3 linked regions of the Tamandua tetradactyla genome follow. The protein of the gene in region 2 interacts with the protein of the main gene of each other region in a pairwise test. Links are inferred from orthologs where the notes say so. Each region holds a gene or a part of one and is shown on either strand. Other genes may lie near its edges.

What was found.
Region 1: the proteins of TXLNB (region 2) and LURAP1 interact in binary tests that used the Homo sapiens proteins (3 or more experiments, as listed by UniProt). The two-hybrid records come from large-scale screens. The link is inferred for Tamandua tetradactyla from reciprocal best matches to the Homo sapiens genes TXLNB and LURAP1.
Region 3: the proteins of TXLNB (region 2) and DEUP1 interact in binary tests that used the Homo sapiens proteins (3 or more experiments, as listed by UniProt). The two-hybrid records come from large-scale screens. The link is inferred for Tamandua tetradactyla from reciprocal best matches to the Homo sapiens genes TXLNB and DEUP1.

Annotation. Positions count from the first base shown.
Region 1 is NC_135328.1:176,648,193-176,651,941, forward strand, and holds the start of LURAP1 (leucine rich adaptor protein 1), read right to left. Parts: upstream 2,519-3,749; 5' UTR 2,090-2,518; coding exon 1,892-2,089; intron 1-1,891. UniProt on the Homo sapiens protein: Acts as an activator of the canonical NF-kappa-B pathway and drive the production of pro-inflammatory cytokines. Promotes the antigen (Ag)-presenting and priming function of dendritic cells via the canonical NF-kappa-B pathway.
Region 2 is NC_135351.1:39,321,244-39,324,992, reverse strand, and holds the start of TXLNB (beta-taxilin), read left to right. Parts: upstream 1-746; 5' UTR 747-928; intron 929-3,117; 5' UTR 3,118-3,131; coding exon 3,132-3,573; intron 3,574-3,749. UniProt on the Homo sapiens protein: Promotes motor nerve regeneration. May be involved in intracellular vesicle traffic.
Region 3 is NC_135334.1:49,843,858-49,847,606, reverse strand, and holds the start of DEUP1 (deuterosome assembly protein 1), read left to right. Parts: upstream 1-1,257; 5' UTR 1,258-1,444; intron 1,445-1,938; exon of another isoform or gene 1,939-2,035; intron 2,036-3,089; exon of another isoform or gene 3,090-3,131; 5' UTR 3,132-3,157; coding exon 3,158-3,204; exon of another isoform or gene 3,205-3,739; intron 3,740-3,749. UniProt on the Homo sapiens protein: Key structural component of the deuterosome, a structure that promotes de novo centriole amplification in multiciliated cells.

The sequences.
Region 1 (3,749 bases), on a different chromosome or scaffold from region 2:
GAGCTGGGAGAAGGACAACTGAAGGACAGTCCTTAGAGGGCTTGGCTCAGTCCTGCTACTAGTGGCTCCATGGAGAACCCCCTGTTCCACCACTGTCCTTCCTGGGCCCAAGACAGTGGGCAAGGCAGAGTGCCAGAAGAGATCAATGACATCCTGGCCTGAGGAGGGAGAAAGTAATGGGGTAGGGATCTGTGAGTACATGTAGAGGATCTCTCCTTGTTCTGACCCCTAGAAGGCTCCCTCCCTTGTGCCCTTCACAGGCAGCCTCAGGCCCCAGGTCAGGCTGAGTCAAGAATACAGCAAGAAAAAAAATCAGAAGTTAAATGTATCCCTAAAAAAGTTCACCTTCAAAGGCAGAAAAGAGAGCCAGAGAGACTAGGTACAGCTTCTCCACTGACTTCCTGTGGGAGCTCTCTTAACACCTCCAAGCATATTTCTACATCTGTGAGATGGGGAAAATAATGACTATTTTTCTCACTTCAATGACATAATGTGTTTTAAAGTGTCTGACCCAAAGCAGGTCTTAACGATAAAGATGTAAATTGTAGTCAGATTATCTGGATTCAAATCCTAGCTCTGCTTTTTTACTTTTTGTATGACCTCGGACAGTTCCTTAACCTCTCTGTGCCTCAATTTCTTCATCTATAAATTATTTTCCTCATAAGGCTTTTGTGAGGATTAAGAGAATATATTATAGAGTGTATTTTCAAAGCAGGGTATTCTAAGTAGGCTCTTTCTAGGCCTCAAGCTCCAGTTTGTATGATAAGGCAACACCAGCCCCCACTTAGGTGAGCAGTCACAGTCCTGCTCTAGAGCATTTGGCACTCACCCCCAACCTTCAAGGCCAAGTGCACATTTGGCATTCAAGTGGAGCCTTCCCTGACTGCTCCGCCCACAAGGTTCTCCTCCCAGCCTCTCAGGAAGCCCTGGAGCCCTGGGCTCTCCTCCCTACCTCCCTCACAGCCAGGCCTGGCACAGAGGAGGGCGCACAGTGGGGCTCCAGGAAGACTTATTAGCTGACAAACTCACTGTGAGTTTCTGGTTCTGGGCCAGGGAGCAGCCGGCAATTCCTCAGGTTATTAGAACTGGCTATGAAGTAGTGGCAGGTGTAAATCATTCCCTTCACCTCAGTCTCTTCACCGGAATCAAAGCCCTAGGTGTCCTTTTGGCTCAGAACATCTAGACTGCAGCACCATGGAAGGGGGGGGGTGCCTGTTTCCTCCTTTTCTCCCCAAGGAGGAACAGATGGAATCCAAATATCCAGTGCACCCCCGGGAAGAAGACTAGTCAGGTGAGGAACTGACACTGATGGGTGTGCCTAATCTTTGTCTGCTATGGTTCTGGGAACTTTCAGATATTTTATGCCTGGATGGCAGAATGATTTTAGTGCCCCCTGGTCCTGGCAGTTTTCAGTAGATGTGTGTCTCACCCAAATTTTCTTTTGTACTGAATCCTGTCGTAAACACTTGGGCCTCAACTGAACCAAATTCGGTCCTGGTCCTGAAAAAGCTCCTAGTTTGCAGGGAAGAAGAACCTAGTTGCCCTGTAATGCAACTAGGGGGGGACAGAGGTGTGCAGTGCCAGGTTCTCAGTTGTCTCCCTGCCCTGACCTCCCCACTCCCAATTATTTGGCGGAAAAACTTCCTAGGTTGTGCCTCCCACCTCAAGTCCTGGGAACCCACCAACATCCCACCCACCCTTGGGGGACAATTAATGGAAGTCACCCTACCTCCGCCCCGCGGGTTTTACAGATTAACCTGGGAAGCATCCAGAGGAGTAAGGTGCGGAGTTTTAACTCCTTCCTCTCCAGCCCACTCCGGGGGCGTCAGTCCGTTCTTTCCAGCCCTAAACCGGGGACTCCGACGCCCTGGCCCGTGGAGGTAACACTCACCAGCTCCATCCTCAGCTTCATGATCTTGTCCCCCAAGCCGTGGCCCAAGCTAGGCGCTCCTGGGAGCAGCAGGGCGCCAGCGGTCCCCGGCTCCCACTCGCCTCGCAGCCCGCGGAGAAGCCCTTCAGGGGTCTTCCTGCCCACCTTGCTCTCCACGTCTCGTAGGTCAGGCGTCTGGGACTCTGCGGTCCCCTCCATACGGGCCCAAGCCTGTGCGGGGCTGGGCGACCGGACGCCGGGGTCCCGCTCCCGGGGGTCTTCCTTTCCCCGCCGCCACTGCAGAGCGGAGCAGAACGGGTGGGTCCCCGCCCGCGCGGCGCACAGGCGGAGGAGGGCGCCGTACCGCTCAGAAAAGCCGCGCAGAGCCTTTTCTGAGAGCCGCGCACAGTCTATTCCAGGGCTGCGCACACACCCTCTAGCTCAGGAATGCGCTAGGAGAGCTCAGCGCCTTCTCCCCACTCTGCCACTGAATCTAAACAGGCACACATCAGGCGCCCAGTAAATGTTTGGAGCTTGATGAACAGTGGTAGCAGAGGACTGCAGAGAGTTTTGAAAGGCTTCCTGGGGTAGAAGAGTTGGTAGAAAATAGCGGCTAGAATTTAGCTAATCACTGACACGCGCGGGCACACACATATACACACACCAATTTCAGCTCCTCCTTAGACAGGAGGAGCAGAAACTAAAGTCCTTCTGCCCAGCGGCAGGCAACCAGTGTTGAAGCTTTAGTGCTCTGCATGGGCCAGATCACACCAGATCTTGTAGACTGGTGTTCCCTAAACTTGACCGTTCCTTTGACTCATCTGCGGAGCTTGTTAAAATGCAGATTCTGATTCAGTAAGTCCGAGGTGGGCCCTGAGATTCTTCATTCCTAACACGCTCCTGGTGATGACTATGTTATTGGTCCTAGAACCACACTCTGAGTAGCAAGGTTGTACAAGGCTGTTTTAAGGTGTTTGGATTTTATTCTGTGAGCAATGGAGAACCATAAAAATGTTTTGTTTTGTTTCAGCTTAGTTTAGATTTTGGTTTTTTAATCCAAGTAATTCAGTTCACCGTTACAGAAGGGTTTACAATGAAAAGATAGTTATCCCTGCCTTACCTTTTCCCGCCTCTAGTCCCACTTCCCAGAAGCAACCACTTTTAGCTTTTTTTTTCCTTCTAGTATTTAAATAGGTTTATACCACTGTTTCCGTTTACTAAAGCTGCTGGAATGCAATATACCAGAATGGGTGGGCTTTTTCAGTGGAGATTTATTAAGTTACAAGTTACAATTCTAATGCCATGAAAATGTCCAAATTAAGGCACCAAGAGTTTACCTTCTTGAAGGAAGGGCTGCTGGCATCCGGGGTTCCTATGTCAGGTGGGAAGGCACATGGCAATGTCTTCTGGTCCTTCCCTCTAAAATATCTCTGTGGGTGTTTATTTTCTCTCTTAGCTTCTATTGGCTCTCTCCAGAACTTCTCTCCTTTAAAGAACTCCAGCAAGCTGATTAAGACCCACCTTAAATGGGTGGGGTCACATTTCCATGGAAACAATCTAATCAAAGGTCCCACCCAACAATAAGTCTGCCCCTACAAGAACGGATTAAAATAACATAGGCTTTTCTGGGGTACATAACAGATTTAAACCAGCACAACCCCTCTTTCTTTCTTTTTTTTTTAATTAGAGAAGTTATGGGTTTACAGGAAAATCATGCATAAAATAAAGATCCCCATATACCACCCTGTTATTAACACCTTGCATAAGTATACTACTGGTTCTTGATTTTAAATGTTTGTCTATTGGTTTCCTATTATGGAAAGTATGGATTTAACTCACAATCAGTACTTCCCTTCTGTCACTGGTCCTGTATACTTCA
Region 2 (3,749 bases):
CGGTCACGGGCTCAGGGATTTGGACATGGGCCTCCCGGGACCAGCATCCTCGCTTCCACGGGGGTGTCGCTGCCTCCGGCCCGGCTGGTCAGGCTCTGCCTCAGACCAGTGCAGACACGTGATCCAGGAACCACGGGATGGGGTCTGGAGAGAGGCATTTGATGGGGAGTGGGGAGGAGGGTCTTTCTGTGAGGAGGACTGAGGAGGACACCCCCGGGAGGAGCTGCTGCGGGAGGAGGGACACGCAGGCAGCAAGTGACAGGCGAGCAGTTCCCTGAGTGCGGCCTGCGGCCGGAGGCCACGCGGATCACCACCGGGGCTCCAACCATGGGCCAGCCCTCCAAACACCAAGTAAACTTTTATTACAAATGTTGCCAAGAAACCAGACAATAACATCAGAAATAAAGTGCTCCCAGCACTGGACCCGAACTAGATTGGACTCCTTCTTGTTAGGCCGCTGTTCCCCTTTTTCCAGAATTCCTGTAAGAAACTCGGCACTAATTAGACTTGCCACACTGGAAGTATACCAAGAAATAAGAAAAACTGCTCTCCGCGCCCAAGATCAGCAATGGTGAGAAGCTGCGCCTGCAAACGGGCTGCTGCCGACTCACGGTTTACATTTTTTAAAAGGACAAATCGTGGAGGAGGGTCTGATAAGCTCTCCCAGCTGCTGAACTCCTGCCGGAGCTTGGGTGCCCTTGTCTCTTGCTGTGTCACGCCGCCTTCCCTCCCCTGCCGGCTCTGGCCCACTGCCTGTGTGTGTGCGTGTGTGTGTGTGTGCGCGCGCACTGGCGTGTTTGTCTATGTGGTCTGTTTCCCCTGTGAGAACCCGGCCTGCCTGTCTCCTGCTGTCCCTGCTGCTCTGACTTGTTCTTTGCTGCCTCTTTCCTCTCCTCCCTTCTCTCTTTGCTCAGCTCCTAGCCTGCCGGTGAGTATGACAACCACCCCCCGAGGCCTACGAGAAGAGGTAGGGTGCGGTTTGTGGTGTTGAAAACATGCAACTTTGAGATCGAAGTGAGCTGTTGAAGAACTTTCCACTGCTTTGTTTGTAAGTGAAATGCGTTGCTTAGGAAGGAGTGCGTAGAACCTGCTGAGACCTCTAGTGCAAGCACAGGATTCTCTCTTTCAGAGGAGGGAGGACAATAAAGTTTATACAAAATAAAATTTAGAAATAGCTTTTGCTGAAAAACTAGCGAGGACAGAAAGGGACAGTTTAAAAAGGAACAGAGCTCCTTGGACTTTTTCTTCCCCTCTTGTTGATTTATCTGGAGGCTGCTCCTAGGAACTGAGCTGTCCTGTGGCTCACAAGGACGCTGTCATTCTGCTTTAAAGTGCATGTGGAGCGGGAATTGGAAGGATAGCCATGGAATTAAGTATAAAAACCATCGGTGGTCAGGGCATCTGATAAATACAGCGCAAATCGAATGCAGAGAACTTGTATCTGCACTAACCATACTAACACGCCTTTCAGTTGGCTTTAAACCCATCACTTTGAAGTTCGGTCTACTTTCAATTTGATTTCATCCTGAAATAGCTTCCCTAACACTTTACAACCGACATATGAACGGAAACCCTTAAATGTTTACTGTTTTCAGATTGATTTTAAAAAGTGTTCTCTTCCCTTGGTTTCTGAGGATGACATGCTAAATACCATGATGCCTTCCACAAGAGCTTAAAATAACCTCTGGCTGGACAGCAGGTGCCACATGCCCCCGCCTTGAGCTGGGGGCGGGGGCTGGGAGCGAAGTTAAATATAGCCGGTGTGCACAGCACGTAGGGGGCAGGCCATGTGGCCGCTGACGGCGTGGCCCGGTGACGAAGCTGACCGATGGAGTGGGTGGAAGGAAGGGCTTCCTTCCAAGTGAATGAGAGCTGGGGGGGGGGGGGGGGGGCCTCATGGGAGTCTCCATTCATGCTGGTGTCCGCGAGGCCCGGGAGAGGGAGTGGGGCGGTCACGCTGGCGTTTCCTCTCCCTGCCAGCGCGGCAGCACACCTGGGCGCCAGGAGGAACCTGCCAGGTTTCTACGCTGTGAATTAACAGGCTCACTGTGAAACACCCTTTACAAGCGGAAAGCTATTCTATCTGTTTCTCTAAACATCCTGGCTGAAAGGCCCAAGCTAAAGCTCTTGCAAACTCAGAAATGGAGACCGCCAGAAACCCTGGAATCTTTTGCCTCATCACGTCCCTCTCGGACTATTGCCCGGATTATATCTGGATTTTTTTTCCCCAATTCATCCTTTCCCTGAATACTGGCCACTGCTATTTCTTAAAAATAAATAAGTTATTCTGGTGTTTCTTGACTGAGAAGAGAAAGCTGGGATCTGTTTTATCCTAAAGGAAAGTGGGTTTTAATGTTGGAACAAATGTGTATTGAGTAAATTCAAGAATTATCATGAGCACCACCGTGTAGTCACACTGGGCAGTCCGTTTGTTTATACCTGCTCTCACTGTCTTATTCTAGAAATGATGCTAGTGTGAACCTCAGAAAATGTGTTTTACTAAATGACAATTACATGTTACTCATCTGGGAAAAAGAAAACATTGGAAAAGCAAGAAAGTACCTCCTGCTTTCACCATTTTTGGTGTAAGCATTTACACCAAAATATTCATATTGATCACATCTTGAGTTATGGATTAAAATAGAGTTTAGGGATATTGTTGTAATGGATACTTTTAGTAGACTCAACAGCTCTTGCATTAACTGTTTTAACTTTGAAAGAAAACTAATACCAATTTAAATTTCAACCTTTAAGTGTATTCAACCATGTGCTTCCAACGATTTTGAACCTACATAGAATTGTATGAGAGAATGATAGCCACTAACTGACTATTCTAAGCAAAATGTCAAACAGGGCCATGCAAAGGAAATAATAGCATGAATTACTCTTTTCATGACAATAATAGGGGACACAAGTGGAATGCAAAGACCAAAACAAAAGTATGCTAGTAGTATGACTCAATTTGGAGAAATGACTTCCACCTGTTACTACCTTACTAACTAGCATCAGTGGCTTATGAAGGGGCGTTCAGTCAATGTTAGAAACCCATTTGGGGTTGTCCTTACCATTTACATACAGCTGAGTTAACTACCTTAACCTAACTGTGCTCATCTCTAGGCACTGCTCCCAATATGGAGACTGGTCAACCCATACTACCCTCAGTGGAACCGCAGTCAACAGCCCCAGGGGATGGAGAGGAGAGTTCTTCATTGCCACCGAGGCTAAATGGCCTGGAGAAGCCAGATGGCCAGGATTCCTCACCCCCAATCCAAGAACCAGAGAAAGGGGCAAGTGTGCAGCCTGAAAAGGCAGCTCATGATATCTCCGAAGAGTTGAATCGACAACTGGAAGACATTATAAGCACATACGGGTCCGCCGCCAGCACAACGGGGCAGGAGGGCCCTGGCACAACCAAAGAGAGGGCAGAATCCCTTGACCACGAGGAAAGGGACTATGAAGAGACCATGGAAGAGACTGAAAGGGAGCCCACAGCTTCTGGAGAGCCACCTGCAGCCAAAGAGTCTGTCGGCAATAAAGAGCAAAAATCGGAAAAGAAAATCCTAAAGGGATTAGGCAAGTCATTTGTCCTACTCTGTGGCTTTTCTCTCTTTGAATCTGTCCTAAAATGGGGCACTTCCTCTGACCTTTACTAAAAGCACATTTAGATAGATATGTCTCTCATTGGTTGGTTATAACAGCCTCCTTCAGGGATGCCCTGCATCTCCTCTTGCCATACCTGCCCTAGCCCC
Region 3 (3,749 bases), on a different chromosome or scaffold from region 2:
CCCCCTGTGCTCATCCCTTTTCAAAACAGCTCACCTGAAAGGATCTATTAACAGGAATATATCAGGGTGAATTCAAATCATCGCAAACACTCCTTACTGGAGAAGGGGCAGGTCTTTGCATTTTTAGCCTTAATGCTCATCTTGAAATGAAAGTCTTAATCTTATTTGAATTGAACGGAAAACTCCTATTCTTTTTTTTCCATTTTCCTAAAATCTATCAGAGTATGTGTCCTCTCACATACTTATGTCTTACAAGCCCAGACATAGGCATTCTTTCTTGTGAAATTATGGCTTTAAATACCTCTTCAGGTACCTATGCAAAATCCTGACTGCTATACTTAGGGCTTTTAGGCAGAATTTGAAGAGCTCTGGATTTGGAGTAAGATGCCCTACACTCATATCTTAGCTGTACTTGAATTAGATGTATCATCTTGGAGATCTCGAACCTGGAGTTGCTATTAATAATCGTTGCTACACTCAGCTTCACAAACAAGAATTTCTGAGCATCTAAAGAAATACTGAATGTGAAAGTACTTACCAATGGTAAAGAGCTATACAAGCTTGAGTTACCTTGGGTATCCTGGAACTTACTTACATTTTTTTCCAAGTTCTTTTTCCCTTTCTAAAGTCAGGAAACCTACATCAAAGCATTCAGTGTAAAGAGGAAGGACCAACATGGCCAAGGCTTTCAGAATAATGGAAAATTTCAAGTTATGATGAAATGATCACTCTCTTCATTCAATAATATGAATAGCTCTATGAAACACCTATTATAACTAATAACCTGTGTTACTTTATACAATTCATCTAAGAGACTCAATTTGTCAAGAAATAGCAAATGGTTTCATGAAATTTAAATGGAACCTGGATGGAGGGATGAGTCTATATTAAGTTGATAGCCATATTAAAGTAGCAAATTAATGTTAATGTTATGAAGAGGAGTACAAATAAAAGATTTTAAGAATTAGAAGCTAATCAACTCGATGTATTAGGAAGGAATTCTGTTCCTAAAATAGATGCAAGAATATTTTCAAACACAAAATTCAAGTGCTTAAAAATAATTCCCTCAAGAAAGCAATATAATTTATAAAAATATGACCTATAATATATAATAAACATATAGCCCTTCCCGACATTCTGTGAAATCAGGGCGGTAGGACAGGGCTGCTGTCATCAATTATTCCTGGAATTTGGTGGAGAAAAGAAAAGAATTTGGAATCAGCCACCCCGGGTTCCGTTCTAGTTCCCTCACTTGAGAATTATTTCTTCATACCTAAAAGGAAGACAATACTATCGGCTCTGCCTAAATTACAGACCCAGTTGTATGGGAAAGACAGGCACAAATGCTGCTGTTAGGGCGACAGAAGTGGCGGTGGACTGAGCTGTGCATTTAAAGAAATCCAGCCCTTCCCAGCTGGAAGACACTGGCGAATAGAAAGGAAAAGTACCCAGTTTATTTTTCATCCTGTTTCAAACTTGGGGAGAAGAGGCTGGGAACCGGGGGGGTGGTGAAGTCACCTGAATATGGAACCCCCAGCCATTTACCCTTTGTTCCTTCATTATTTCATTCCTTCAGTCATTCGACAAACCTTTATGGGGCCTGTGTTGGGCGTCGGGTAGCGGGCTAGGCACTGGAGCCACAGGCAGGAAGGGACCCAGCCTGTATCGGGGAGCCCTCTGACTAGTGAGCAGGCACCACACGCCTAACTGCGGGACAGCCAGGCCGCGCTCGCTTGGGGTGAAGAGGCTGCTGGCCGGGCCGTCCCGCCGCCACCTCCAGCGAGTCAGCCGGCGCCGCAGCGCCCCGCCGCCCCTGCCCTCTACCGCGGCGGCGGCGAGTTCGGCCCGCGTCCCCATGACAACCAGGAGGCGCGGCAGGCGGAGCGGGAGAGGCCGCGCGGCTGGCGGGCCGGGGCGGCGGGAGCGCGCGGCGGGCGCAGGGCCCCTCGGGCGGGCGGGAGGGCTCCCCGCGTTCCTGCTCCCGGGGCCTCAGACCTCCCGGGCAGGCGCGGCCGGCGCGGCGCGGCACAGACAGGTAACAGGGCCCCGGGCCTCCCCTGCCCACCTCACCCCGGTCCCTCTCGCGTCGGCCGGGCTGGCACCCGCAATCCTAGAGGCAGGGGTTACCCCAGGAGGCTGGGGGAGACTGTGCACGCGGCGGGTGGGAAAGAGCCCGGGATGCAAGGACTTTGAAGTGTAGGTTCTAATTGTGTGGCCTTAGGCAAGTCACTTAATTTGTGCCTCCGTTTCCCTGACGTGAAAGTGAGGGATTTGAGAACTGACGAAACTGTTTATTCATCCGTTCTTGCTGCTCAAGTTTTCATTCACCGCCCCTGCTTTTCGCCCCTCCTCTTCACCCACAACTGTAGGATCTCCCTTAAATTCCTCTGATTTGGGTGGCATGAATCCCGGGATCTTCCTCCTCCTCTTTCTACAACCATAAATGCGCTTTCATTGACTTTTATTCAGTAATTCGGAGTTGAATTCTTTTTCAATACTTTGTCCATTTATCTTCATATACTAATTATAAAATAAAACTGTTGCTGGGGGAAATACTATCTTGTGTTAGGCAAGTACATAAGCTCATTTTGTCAAGAGAGTGAGCCAGTGCCCATAGAACCATTAAGGAACTGTAAGATTTGTATTTTTAGAAAGTTCTTCAGGCTTCTGTCCTTAACTCTTGGTATGTTTATGTTAACAGACCCCAGAAATGGCCAGAGAAAGAATTTACTCAAATAAAGGCATGCCATTTAGGGGATTCACAGGAAAGGAAAGTTTGAGAAAATCTAGCTGGAATTCCTTTGAGTAAGAATTCCAGTTTACTCATCCCCATGTACTGAGCACTCTGCAAAGCACCTGGTATCTAGCTGTTGTCCAACAAATAGGGAACGAATGCCAATTTCAGTCAGTACCACATATTTCAACTCATCACTAAGCCTATGTCATAAATACAAAGGAGCACTCCTCCCTCCCCCCCCAAATAAGCCCGTTTCTTCATTTTGTAGAACCAAGAGTTACTACTATCTCAGAGAAACTAACATTAAATAGTTTGCTAAAAGCAAAATTTTTATGTTTTATACATTCATAATTGTAAGCATTTTAGGAATCTAGATCATTTTTCTCTCCAGCAGATTAAAAATTAAGAACCATAAACCAGATGCAACAGCTTCTTGACATGGAGAACAAGGCTCCTAATACTACGGGGTAAGTGCTGCAAATCTGTTTAATAAGTTGGTATTTTACTTTGTCAAAAATCATGGACTATGCATGAGTTTTGAAATTTCATATTAATAGAAAGATGTGCCAATTATTTTTGGTGAAGAGGGTGGGGGGAATTTCAAGAGACTGTAATTAAGAATCTATGGCATGAATCTTTTTTTGCATGGGTAGGCACCAGGAATCAAACTCAGGTCTCTGGCATGGCAGTCGAGAACTCTGCCTGGTGAGCCACAGTGGCCTGCCCAGCATGAGTCTTTTGAATTTTGACTCTGTATATTGTACACCAGAGGTGTCCAAAGACGATCGCCATTTTCCAACTTTCAGTGACTTTGTCCAGTGGCTTCATGGGATAGATGCACACACCCAGGGGAACCAACCTTGCAGCCTTTGTGCAGTCTTGGATTCTCACACTGCAACAGCTCATGGCCAGCTTATTCCTTTCTTGCATTCTCGCTTCCTCCATTCTTGCCCTTCAGGCTGAACTCAGCACTTCACCACAAGTTCCAGAATAAATACAACTCTACGAAACA